Linked DNA regions of Drosophila melanogaster. The gene in region 1 interacts genetically with each later gene. Each region holds a gene or a part of one and is shown on either strand. Other genes may lie near its edges.

The links.
Region 2: of twz (region 1) and TfAP-2, changing one suppresses a phenotype caused by changing the other (phenotypic suppression), as found in Drosophila melanogaster (2 studies listed by BioGRID).

The regions. Positions count from the first base shown.
Region 1 is NT_033778.4:21,572,295-21,579,045, forward strand, and holds the start of twz (tiwaz), read right to left. Parts: upstream 3,742-6,751; 5' UTR 3,688-3,741; intron 1-3,687. UniProt on the Drosophila melanogaster protein: Functions with the transcription factor TfAP-2 to regulate octopamine neuronal signaling pathways that control behaviors such as male aggression, male mating, and the initiation of feeding.
Region 2 is NT_037436.4:21,594,931-21,601,681, reverse strand, and holds the start of TfAP-2 (transcription factor AP-2), read right to left. Parts: upstream 2,827-6,751; 5' UTR 2,401-2,826; coding exon 2,344-2,400; intron 1-2,343.

The sequences.
Region 1 (6,751 bases):
GAAGCAGAAGCAGAACCAGAACCGCCGGCATCGCCATCGGCAACGGCAACGGCAACGGCGGTACGAAGCACGAAGAACGGAGCATTGGGGCGCTGAGCTGAGCCCGCCTGGAATGCCCCGGGGTCGTTCGAGGAGCGACTGCGACGGAGGCAGCTGAAATATTTTGCTGCCCGGCGGCAATGCAAAGAAAAACTTGTGATAAATACGCCCCAGGCCATGTTTCAAAACACAAGCTGAATGGAGGCGGCGAGGGGTGTGCGGAATGCGGAGACGACGGAGCTGAGCGAGTACAGTGAGGCCTGCAGTTAGGCAGCTGTAATTAAAATGAGTGCGAACTTTCCACCCCCGCCCGCTGGAGAACGCAACGCCCGCGGGGGTGGTGGCCAAAATTCCGCCCAAGCCGAGAGTTCTGTCGCATCATTTTTCATTGGCAATTGTTTCGGAATGCTCGCTTATTTGTCCCCCGGCCATATTCATTTTGAAGTACATGCGCCACAATAATATTTCGCTATATTTCCAGAATCGGCGATCTGCCATAGAGATGGTGTACCGTGTGTCTGAATGCCAGCTTAAAGCAGGTAAGCAAAAAAAAAAAATATATATATATATATAAGGAAGGGATTTTCTTTATATCTTTTTACACGATAGCCTTTAAACGTTTTAGCTTACTACTTTTTTTATATAAATTAGGGACACACACACGTAAATTGCGAGGAGCCAACTGCAAATAATACCGGCATTAAAGTGTTCAATAAAACATGTCAAATTTTAATTGTTTCGCGTGAGCAGTGGCATTTCAATTTTTCATCCTTTATCGCAGCAAATGCGTACGACGAGTGGAAACTGTTGCAATTTTATCGCTCATTTCACTCACTCAAATGGAATGGGAAATGCTGTGGGGGGTTGTTGGGGGGGGGCTTTTATTGTTTCAAGCGGCAAAATGGGGTAGCGGGCTTCTTTATTTTGACGTCGCTTTGCGTTTTTGCCATTTTAAATATTTTTTTAATCACAAGCTCACGCACACACACACATACACACGTACACAGAGAGAGAGGCAGAGTCGTACGTATTCAGTCACTCATACACAAGCTCATACATATGGCAATACCAATATTTCAAGCCAATTTGCTGCAGCTAGCCGCCAGCGGACTGCCAACAAAATAATTCGACAAAATGTGTGCGGCGCGCTTTATGCTTTATTGTTTGGATCGCTTGGGGGCAGTGCAGTGGGGTGGGCGGGCGAAGTGGGGGGTAGGTGTATATGGGTGCAAGGAGTCACATACATCAAGTACATATGTATATACATATATATAGATATATATAGAAAGATATATATTGTAGTAAAAGAGAATCCGCGGATCAGCTCAGAAATCAGCGTCGACATTTATACACTTCCTACGCGCTCGTTTGTAATTATTTGTTGATGGCTTTTTAAAGTAGCCCGCTCGCCACGCCCTCCCGCGGGCATACCGCCCACTCGCCTGCATATTTATTCAACGCTTGTGCATTTGCTTGTCAATCAATATCATACTGAATGCTGAATGGGAAAACACAAACATTTAAATGCCATCGCATATGCTGAGAATTTCCGCAGATTTTTTTACGCCACCCGCGACCGCCAACACCATCAGCATCAGCATCATCATTATTGTGATTTTTTATTATTACTATTATTTATGTGAGCACACACTCATCATCACAAGGCTGGGCAAATGGCAAATGTGTATGATGGGCTTTAAAATATACGAGTATGTATATATGTATATGTGTGGATGGGTGCGCACACATACAAGCGAACATATATTTTTTATTATTAACGATACCCAGCGAGGAAGCAACAAAAACATATATAGCATACCCATATATACACAAGCATATATATGAAAAGGCTCATAAAATTCACAATGTCTGGCCGCGGGGCTTTTACTTAATGATGCCATTTTTGCCGCCGCAGCCTGAAATTCGTGTTAAATTTTTAACGCACGACCGAACTGCAGCGGCAGTGGCAGCAAGCGCGACCACATATCAACCATCACAGCAATTCGGGCATCCATCCGTCCACCCATCCACCCATCCACCTATCAAAATATCCACCCATCCACCCATTCACCCATCAATTCATCCATATGTGGCACAACATTTACATTAACATTTGAATGGTAATCATTTTACAGGCAATGCGTGCCAAAATGAGGTGTTTGTTTAGCTTTTAAAGCTGTGTCCTTTTTATCACTCGCTGTCCTTTAAATTGATTAAATTATCAATAGAAGAATAACCACTGAATATCCTTTTGGTCCTTCATATTATGCCATTTATGCTAAGCTTACGTTTTTGGGAATTTGTTATATTCTAAAGGATTTGGCTTTGATTTAAAAATATGTTTCGATCGAAATGCCATAATGCAGTTGACATTATTTCAATTGTTTCAGTTTGACCCAAAATACTTTTAATGCACCATTTAATTCTAATGCAATACTTAAGTGCCTTAAAGCCCATACAAAAAGGTGGGTATAAAATGCATTAAACAAACTATAATCTGCCCAAAAGGAAAAATAAATATATATGATGGAGTGACTAAATAAAATATGGTTGTTTAACACAGGATTAATATTTATTCATGCAACGTATTTGGTAAATTGTGCTGAATTGTATTTGTTGCTTTATGTTTATTAGTTTGTTTACCAATTTCTTGGGGTCGGTGAAAGCTGGACTCTCGCAAATGAGAGTGCCTTTCAATTGAGGGGGCAAAAGTGGAACGGAAAGGGGCCTCTTCTGGAGTCGATTGCCGACATCCTTTTGTCATTAGCAATGCGTGACATTTGTCATTAACTGCATAATGATTCCTATGCAGTTTGGCCAACTTCTCCAACCAAACCCAACACACACACACACACACAGTCTAGCATATTGTACATAATAAGTGTGTGCGGATGTGAGGCATGTGTGTGTGTGTGTGCATAATTTTAATGATTTACAAACTAAGCCGGCGGCGTTTTTAGCTCGAAAACTGACAGTTGATACCCAGAGACAAGCAGAATGAGGGAAATATAACGCAAAAGAAGATATAGCCGCGAGTTATGAATGGGAGAGGACCAGTTCTTTATTTCCAGCTTCTTGGGGTGGAACGAGCGAACGGAACGGAAAGGATTGCTCGAACATGCAACTAAGATGGCCTAAGGACATTCAGAGGCAGAGGCACTGGCTGAGGCAGTGGCAGAGGTAATGCCGTAGAATGGGCAAAAATATGCAAGTTAAAAATAAGTTAAGTTTGAGTGGCTGGCGGCCCTGACGCAGCGTTTTGCATATAATGAGGGTACCAGCGCCCAGCTTTTTCACACTGCTTGTCACCTGCTGCCGGACTTTGTACATATGTATGTATGTGTATTTTTGTGCATTGGTATGTATGTAGATGAATTTTGGGGGACAAAAAAAAAACTGTGATTCTTTGGCCAGTTAGTTGGTAGCTGGTTGTGGGTAATTATAGGCAAACGGCACCGGCACTCGGTGTTGTTCTTAAATTATATGCCACTCATCTCTGTTTTCTGTTATCCTGCGCTGCAGCTGCCCCGCCCACTAATGTGGACACCCGGCCAGTTGTCCAAACACGTGCCGTGCAACAAGTTACCAGGCTGGGCGAAAACAAACGCAAAAAAGCATGTGGCAATAGCCAGAGACACTGTTATTCACCTGCTGCCGTTGTCGAAGGCAAAAGCAAACACCATCGGCACAAACACACTGAACCACCGTTGAGAAAAGACTGTTTTGGGGGGGCTCGTTGGGGTCTAAGTGCCGAGTGCCGTCGAGCGTGTTGCATGCAACATGGGGCACGACGCCAGCCGCAGCAGCAGCAGCAGCAGCAGCAGCAACATCTGGCGCAGCAGCGACGGCGGCAGCAGCAAAACGGGATGTTATCAGCCGCAACGTAAACACAACCACCACAACTAAGTATCCATATCCGCAGCAGGCGACTTCGATCGCCCGTCCAACTGGCCCGTTCCCTCCAACCCCCTTCCATGCACTGAAAGAAAAAACTATCTAAAAGCGTCTGTTTGTAACTGGCAGTCCATCTTGGACAGCAGTTGGTCTCAACTCTTTCAAATTTGCTCTCAGTGAAATACTTTAATTTCCTATCTAAGCAGCCGACTTTTGTTCCAGTGTGGTTGTTAGCCAAGCTAAGCTCGCGATGCGATGCCAATGTTCGACGCCGGAGCTCCAGCTTCGGTTCACCTTCCTCCTCGCCTTGCCCGCGGGCGTTCGCTTGTAATTATAATATTTCAACCCAAATGTGACCCGGGGCCATGCGCCAATGATGGATTTCAGCTCTCTGGTCCGCTCCGCTCCCCTTTCCCCTTCCTGTACCCAGCATATAATGTGGCATATATATATATATATATATATACATATTTATATATACACCGAAGAAAGACCGACACCCGAGATGCGGAGAGGTGCGTCGTGTGGTTCCGGGGTGGCTGATGTTGCTGCTGTTGCTGTGCAATTTGGTGCCGGCGGGCAAAGCGGATTGGCCTGCGGCCAGACATGTGAATAAAATTACATTCACTATTTTATATGCCACATGGCTTGTTGTATGTATGGCATTTATCGGTGTTTATATGTTTTGCCGGTGCCATGTGGAAAAATCCTATGTAGGTAGAAATAATTGAATTGGCACATCAGCTAAATCACTCTCGTCCATGTTTATATGTGTATGTCTTTATGGGTATGCCGGCCTGGAACCGGAGACGGCGGTCAGGGCAATAACAAGATTAGATCACTGGAAGAAGAGATTGCCCCCGGCCGGCAGGCAATGGAAAAGGGTTGAGCGAAAACTAAGCTGCCACTGACAATCTACAAAGCGAGGTCCGAATGGCTGCTACGAATAGTAAGTCCCCCTTCCGAGTCCATCGTTCGATTTAAGTTTTCCTCGGAACACACAGGCAGGTGAACATTAATCAAGCCAAACAACCAAATAACTTATGGCCCTGGCTAATAGAGACATTCGGCCAACTTCGAGGCCAGAAACAAGTCGGCCGAAGCTCTGGCCGAAACTATAAACCAGTGCTCACTTAGATAAACAAGATATGTGGGAGCAATTAGTGTTTATTAATGGTGATTTTCGAGATATTTGAATTTTTGGAAAATTGCATTTCAAATGGTAGAAAGAAAAGCAATTTGCATGAATACCTAGCATTCAAGACTTTAAATATTTGTATAATACTAATTAGCTATGAAAAACTTGTATATTTTTAACATATCCGATTGATTAAGATATACAACAAGTAAGCCTTTAATTCACTTACAAAGTGTGAGAGAATTCTATGCGGTAAGTGCGGCTTTTAAGTGCCACACAACGGTAAGTAGTAGCCCATAAATGCGTCCACTTTCATGTGTGTGTGCGTGTGTGTGTGTGGCGTGGTAATTAAATTGGCATTAATTAAACTTACGTCGCTTCTGTCGACGGCGCTGCTCAAGTGCCGCTCATTAAGCAATTAAGGGATAATTATCAACGCCGCGCCGTTGCCTTTTTGCAATTTTCATGCGCAAAGTGTTAAAATCACTTAATAGGCGGCCACATCCTGGCCTTCTGCTGTTGTTGTTGTCCTTACTTCCGCCGCCATTCGTGTGCGTGTGTGTGTGAGTGTGCAAGTGTGCGTAAGCGGTTGCATGTGTACGATGTTTGTGGACGCACGCGGCTGTTTGTTTAAGTGTAGCGTTAAACGCGGCCACTGACAAGCTGCGAATGCCGCACACCTGTAAGCAATGCCATCGCCGTGTGCCGTGTGTGTGGCATGTTGGGCCAACAACAACAGCCGCAGCAGCAATAACTAATGGGTCCTCCGATTCTGTGAGCCATAAGCTCGTATTAATGCAGTTATAAGTGCAATGCTCACCCATACACATGCACGCACACACACAGTCACACCTGCACTCACACCTGCAAGCTAGCCACATACATACTGACACTTTGACTGACAACAAACCAAACAGGAGCAACAGCAGCAACATCAGCAGTTAAGCGACCGCCAACAGCCAACTGGCGAGTCAGTCAGTCAGTAAAGCAATTTACAGACATCTGTTACACGTGAGGAGTAACCACCCACTACCACGCACACACACACACACTCAACCAAACTCACACACACGAAAACGAACTGCATTCGAGCATTTAGGCGAAGGGGACGGCAGGTGAAAGGGTTGGGGATTTTTGTGGGGAAAAATCGTGCAGAATGCGTGTGAGCCACACAATTAAACGGAAGCCGCGACCAGTCCACTGAATTGAATCAGTTGTTCAGCAAATGGAGGAGCCACTGTAGTGCGGCAGATAGTTTGTAATTGTTTTGCTCACTTTTTGGCCCAAAAGGGAAACAGTTAAACGCCGACGATTAAGATCTTCAAATGGGGTGAGCTTTTTAAATCCCAGTTGGGAAAGAAGTTTATATGCTTGCTATACTTGAGCAATAAGTTTATTAAAAATCAGCAAGAATGAAAATAAGCAAGTAAAATATGAATAATAAATAAAATAAACACTTAAAAATCAGACTTAAATATTTTCTCTGCTAATTGTGTTAATTGTAATACTCAAATATTTCTTTGTTCTCTTCACACTGATTAGGCAATAAACTATTTAGGCCTCTGGTAGTTGAAACAAAACTAATGCAGCCCGCCCCTTTCGCATCTGCCTCCAGTTGGCATGTGACCCTTGTCAACTCCAAAGAGTCTCGAGTCCGTATACCTTTCCCGTTTCCATTTC
Region 2 (6,751 bases), on another chromosome or scaffold:
CTATCGAAATTGTTTCATTCATCTTATTGCGAGTTTCCTCTAGTTCCATTTATATAATTTACTTTTAATCAAGACTATAGTATTCCTGCATCTGGAAGTGGGGGAAAGTTTAATGGCGCTTATTCATTTCTTTATGCAATCCCTAGCCCTGCGCACAATTACCATACCAACATGCCTCGCAATCCTACAAAGTGCACATTGTAAATTGGAACAATTATTCTAAATTATAAAGAAATTATTCAATAAATCATAAGGGAAGCCATCAATCAGGCTTTGAGCCCGAACCTCTTGGATGAAACGGAGTTTGGCTAATAAATAAGCCCAATGCTGAATACTTTTTGATATTTGGGAGCTGGGCTATGGGAACTTTTCTGCCAGTCTGTATGGCATTCTTTTTTTAGTTGGCGATCGCACGCAAATTGACGATGCGTTGCGCTTCAATCTCATAAATTATTTTGGCAACGCATCACGCGAGTGTCCCAGTGGGATCTTACCTGATTTGGGAGTCTTCGGAGTGCCAGGGACAGGTCCAGGACCAGTACCAGGACCAGCCAAACCAAACCAAACCAAAACCAAAGCTAATGCCAACACACTCGACATGCCCACTTTGCTGGCGGGACTCGGATTTTTGTGGGCGATGACTTTTGGTCTACCTCTTCGCTGTGTTTTTGTTTTGATCTTTGGCCCTTGCCCCGCAAATTGCCCTATTTTTTTATCGGGCATCGAAAAAGTTCTTGGAAGCAAGAACACCATATAATTTCGCTAATTAAATGGGGGAGCGTGTACCCACGCATTTCAAGAATTCCTCCATATTCGCATTTGAATTTTGACCACTGACGTCTGATCACTCCCACCGCCGTCACTTTTTGCTCTCTGCCTCGAAATCGTGAGTGCATTAAATGTAGGACCTTTTTTACTTTCAGATACGGTTTCCCTCCCATAACGCACATATTTGAAACAGCCAAACCGCTTAATTTGAGGCTTATGTCTGATGATACAAATACTAATACTAAGAGTACAAATCTTATAGAGACTTTAATCGAAATAACATAGAAAGCATAACATGGCTTTCTCTCTTGGATTTACATTTACAGTTATAGATATTATAAACGATCAAAGACTGTAAATATTGTACGATAAATTTGTATATGAAATTTAAAAGAAGATTAAAAAGATTTCAAGAATCATTACTCTAAAAACAGTGGACTTCATACACATACATATACATATGCTAGCTACAGTTTTAAGGTTCGTCTTTCCGACGGCTACTTTTGCCGTCTTAAAAAATAAATGATTCCAAATTGCCCGTTCAAAAAACAGAATAAAATTAAAAATGAGTGCAACTAACATTGCATCCTTTAAGGGTATGTTTCTCAATTACAAGTAAATAAAATAAGTTAACAGACCCATTGGCTTTTTCAATAAGATTTTATATTCTTTAGTCTTGTCGCCCTATAATATTTGAATAGAGAATTGCATTTAGTAAAGAGTTTTCAGCCCAAGAAAACCTATAAGGATACTGGGAAACTAAAATTAATACTTTGATACTGATCGAACATTACCTAATCTGAATACGAATATGCACATTTGATTTCGATTTGGTCCATTTGTGTCCAATGCATCTCGACTAGGATAACAAAAAAAGCAAACTGACTTCTTGAATGTCTGATTACCATAAACAAACACCGTTTGTATTCAGGTTTTAGATCCTGACTTTAATAAAATTTTTAAATAGACTCCTTGAGGTTTAAGACTGCCTACTTTAAAAAGTCAATTTAAATTTGAAGATGCATTTTCAAGGTTTAAGACCTCTAATTACAAGAGAATTGCATGCGCCTGTGATCGCAGTCTGCTTTCGGGGCCCCACACCCTCTTGGGCACTTGAGTGATCCCCGGACTCTTGGAGTGGGCACAATCAGGTTGAAGTTTATGTACTTATTATTCCCAGAGCAGAGTGTGCCACACGGAGTCGCAGGAGAACCCATTACTGTAAATTGCTCATTGATTTTGCTGCTAGAATGGCCCGGAATGGTAATCAGCTTGTGTGTGAATGTGAATCACGGGCGCAGATCTCTCGGTCCGGATCGCTGGCCAATGGTCGTAATTGGCCAATGGTTTTAAGGCTTGCGTGCCCCAAAATGCCCAAAGAAATTTCAGTGTCAATCAAGCTCGTCCGCCCATGGGCACTCGATGGTTCAATATCTTTGAGTATTTTGAGTAGCTAAAGCTGCGCCGATGCTCGGGCGGGGATTAGCCTGGGCAGATTTCGGCTGACAGACAATTTGGATAGATAGACCCGACCCTCCTCCGATCGAAGTATCCTGCAAAAGGCGCGCAGCTTACCATCATGAACTTCTGATCCTCGAACTGATGGTCGTTGGTGCGGTGTAGAATGTGCATGTTGATCCAAATTAGACGGCGATATCAACTAGTTGGAGAGCATAGGTTTTCTTTTGAACACTTGGGCCAGGGCCAATGCAAAACAGGTACGATCACTAAATAAGTATTTATTGAAAATCGATTTTTGGCACTGGTTAAGGCAACTGTGGGTGCTGGAGCTAGAGTTCCGTATCCGCCGCTATATACACTGCACTCTCCCCGATTGAAGGACAATAGACGTGATTTAATTGTATTTGAACTAATTTGCAGTTCGGATCCACGATCGTTTCGGTTCGGCTAGGTGCGGATCGGTTCGGAACGGAACGGAGCGGTTTCGGTACGGTTTTGGTTCGGTACGGTTCGGTTTGGTTTGGTTTGGTTAATTAAGCGAGGACCCGCAATCGAAATTCCGCCTTTGCGCAGCCACCAGACGTAGTTCTCGACTGAAGTTGGATTTTCTGGTTGGACGCAAAAACCTTCGGGGGATGTGCGATGTTGCCGCTGCTGCTGCGGCGGCGGCTGCTGCTGCTGCTGCTGCAGATGCTGCTGCTGCCGCGGCTGCTGCCGTTTTTTCTCCCATACAGCTGCGAAATACATAGGAAAAGTGCCCAAAGCCTATGCCCGTGCGCCGCGCGTCTGTATGGGTGTGAGGCGCACACAGATACGCCGGGCAAGCAGGTTTTCTGGCTTTCGGGCATCGAAGAGCGGCTTCCGAAGAGAGCCCGCCGCCCAAAGAGAGCACAGCCATTTATATTTCGGAAGCCACGCCCCGCCAGCGGACTACTAGACAATGGGCCGAGCCCGAAAACCGAAAACCCAGAGGCTGCGGCAGGCAGCGCAGCTCGCGTACAGACACACAGATGCGGATACACAGCCACACTGCCAGATGCGGATGCTCGCGAGATGCGAGTGCGATACGGATACGAATACGAATACATAGGGGTGGAATCGCATGCGAATGGCCGGGGTTGGCGACGCACCCGTGCCCCGAGGGTTGCTGGATCTCTGAGCCCGGGCTGCTACTGGGAAAACCCCGGCATTGGACGCCCAAATCGCCAGTGGTACGTGCTCCGGGTTCTTTCTTCTCTCGGGGATTAAGCGACCCACCTATGTATGTATGTATCTACGTACTTATCGAACGTTCGGGGGTTGCCATGTGAAAGAGGCTGTCCGCCCGATTTACATATTCTACATAAAAATCTACCCATATATGTAAGGGCGTGAGTGTGGGTCCTTGCTCGCCATAATCAAAACAAACTGAAAATAGCAGATTTTTATTTTTTCTATGGCTGTAGCTTTCGAACATTTGAGGGTAAAATTTTTGTAAACGATTAAACAAACGGAAAATCAACAGCAGGCCACTTCGCATGCTTAAAGATTTCTAATTTACAAATTCCCTTTTATATATAACACGATAGAGGAACTTAGGACAATTAAAGCACTCTTTAAAATTAAAGGTTCACTATAAACAAACTATTTTGGCTTGCCAATGAACTTATAACAAGCAAACTTCTTACTTGTGTCCCGCTTTAATAACCTTTATCTAAATAGTATAGTTAGTTTTACAACGATTATAATTAAAAAAATCGAAACAAATCAGAAAATTAATTTAAGGACAGGTGCTTCACAACTTCAAATCAGGAACACTATTATGTTTCACTAACTTCAGAGCTATAGAAGTTACCCATTCTGATGTTTTTTAAAATTAAATATTGATAGTTAACTAATTAGTCAATTATTTGTTAGATTTTTATAAGTACTTCATGAAACAATTATAATAATAACAAAAGTCAACGACTTTTCATATGCGAAGCCATAAAAATATAGTAATAGAGATGAAAATAAGGAAAAATTTTGGATGGCAAGAAAATCGATTATATGATATTGTTAAGGCATCGAAATACTTTTTGCAAACTTTAGTTCATTACTCAAACTCATGAATATAGCAATAAGGTAATGAAACATACTGAAAATTCTTATTCGTCAATATTGTTTTGTGTCAAACTATCCAAAAATATGGACTTTGCAAAAAAAGTTTAATCAATTAACATAAAATACAACCATTGCCACCGTTTAGACCAGCAGACCTTTTTATAAGTTACATGTGTTAGTAGGCCATAGAAATCAACAAAGTTGGTTAAAGTGTGAAAGTTGGGTTAAAAAGGCGCTGACTTAGATAAGTCTTGAGCACCAGGAATAAATCTTTAGTATCAACGTGGTGTTCTGTATGAATCTCCATCATTTGAATTCCTTGTTCTATTAACCACGCTGAAAAGCTGAAAGTAAGCGTCGCAATCCTCAAGAGACATTCATTTCATTTATTCCTGCTTTGTTTTCAGGTTACACAATTAGATCCGCCAGTAAGCGGGACAAGGATTAGCGGCTGTGGAAAATTGAATCACTCGGCGGATTGCCCAACCCGAGCTTTGAATGTTTGTCCGCCCCAATTGAATTATGCCATTAGCTTTCTAAGTGACTCAAATGGATTCGGGCTCCTATCTTCTGTTGCCAGGGGAGCAGAGCAAAGTTCAGCCGAGAAAGAAGGAGCGAAGCTCGGAGGAAAAGTATATCGGGCACGCAGTCATTAAGTCCGAATTTGTGGCAGGGCGAAATGAGATGTGAAACCGTGATCTCGCCGACTGCACATGCACATTATGTACGCGGAGCCACTCACGAAGCCACCTCGGAGGAGCTGGCCAAACAGTAAATTTCGTGGAGTGGAGTGCAGTGGAGTGGAAGCGGCGATCAGGTGCATTATCCAATTGCGGCGGTGGAATGCCGGACGACCCACCTCCATTTCAGCGATTTCATTGCGGCGGCACGACTTTTGATTGCGGCCACGACAAGAGAACGATCGATCGATCCATCCATCCATCGATCGATCGATCGATGATCGGTCCGCCATTTTCAGACCCGATTCGGATGCCGAGGCAAAGCCAAAACCGATACTGATACGGATACTGATACTGATGCACTGCTCGCATTACCAATTAATTCCCAGTCCTCCCCGCAGCACCGGGCATAAATCGTGATGCACAGTGGTCCGTGTGCCCATGGTAAATGCACCCAAGTACACCTCTGTGCAACTACCAACTACCGACCCGCACACCTACACCATTGCAGCCACAATTACATCCACGTCCTCATCCACATCCACATCCCAACCCATACCAGTGCACTCCCGAAAATGGCAGCTTTCTTTGAGCCAGTCATAAGCTGGCTCTTAACCGGGAGGCTCCTAACCCAAGAGCCGAGGAGCTGGGGATCGCAACTGCCCAAGAGTGGAGGACTCGGCCTGAGCACCTCATTTAAGATGCGTCTTAAATGCGATCGCCGGGGGGAAACTCGTGAATGCCGCAGGACTTGCATGACTACTGCCCAGACTTGTGGCTTCGTGGCACTTACTCCGACTTCAAGCGACTCCTTTAGCGGCAAGCCGCTCTTTTTGGTCCGCCTTGCCGGCCGCAGACAAGTGCATTCCATTTCAATCCATTCCACATGCAAATCACAATCAGCTCTCGAGTGGTGATTTTCCGAAAATTTTAACAGACGATGTGCAACCAAAAATGTAATTAGATTGTAGCATGGGAAATAATGTTGAAAGGTATTTACTTTCTTAGGCAATTCAACAAAAATCATCACTTTTAAATCTAGTACTGAGATATATTTACTACAATACAATCTTTTTAAAAACCGTACACTTGAAGATCTAATTACATTTCTGAATTTTTCGAAAGAATTTATGTACATATATGGTGTAACACCACGATCATCTATTGCTTATTCGATTGATCTCCTTCTAAGATTACACACAGACAGAAGTAAGTATATATTCGAATAAGTAGAATATAACCCAAAGATTTATTCTGAATAAGCCCACTAAAAATTCCCCCGCTCACAATGCATCTAGAAAAATGTCTAATTAACGAACGTAACTTTAGAGCAGAAGGCCCTTAAATGGAACAATCCCTCAGAGCGAAAGGAATAGGCACTTCCAGGACAGAGCCTAAGATTTCTAGGGGTTATGGCTAATGGGACTGCTTAGACCTCATGGATTTCTGGACTGGACTTGGGCGGGGGGAGCGGCGTATGCAAATGGAGCCCTTGTGATTGAGTGTTTGTATCTGCAACTACCTCGCCATAATTTTCCGCATTCACTTGGGCTCGGAGTCCAACGCATGTATATGTAGTACGTAGCCCTGCTCGAATACTCGAGTGTGGTAATATTTTGAAACAGCCCCGGGCCATTTCGTTCATATTCGTTAAGTCCTCAGATGCAGGCAGATTCAAATTTCGGGGGAAGCCAAAAGCTGCGGCTGTGGCCCGCTTGCGATACACGAATGCGAATCATCAGCGACATGGTCGTGGCCCA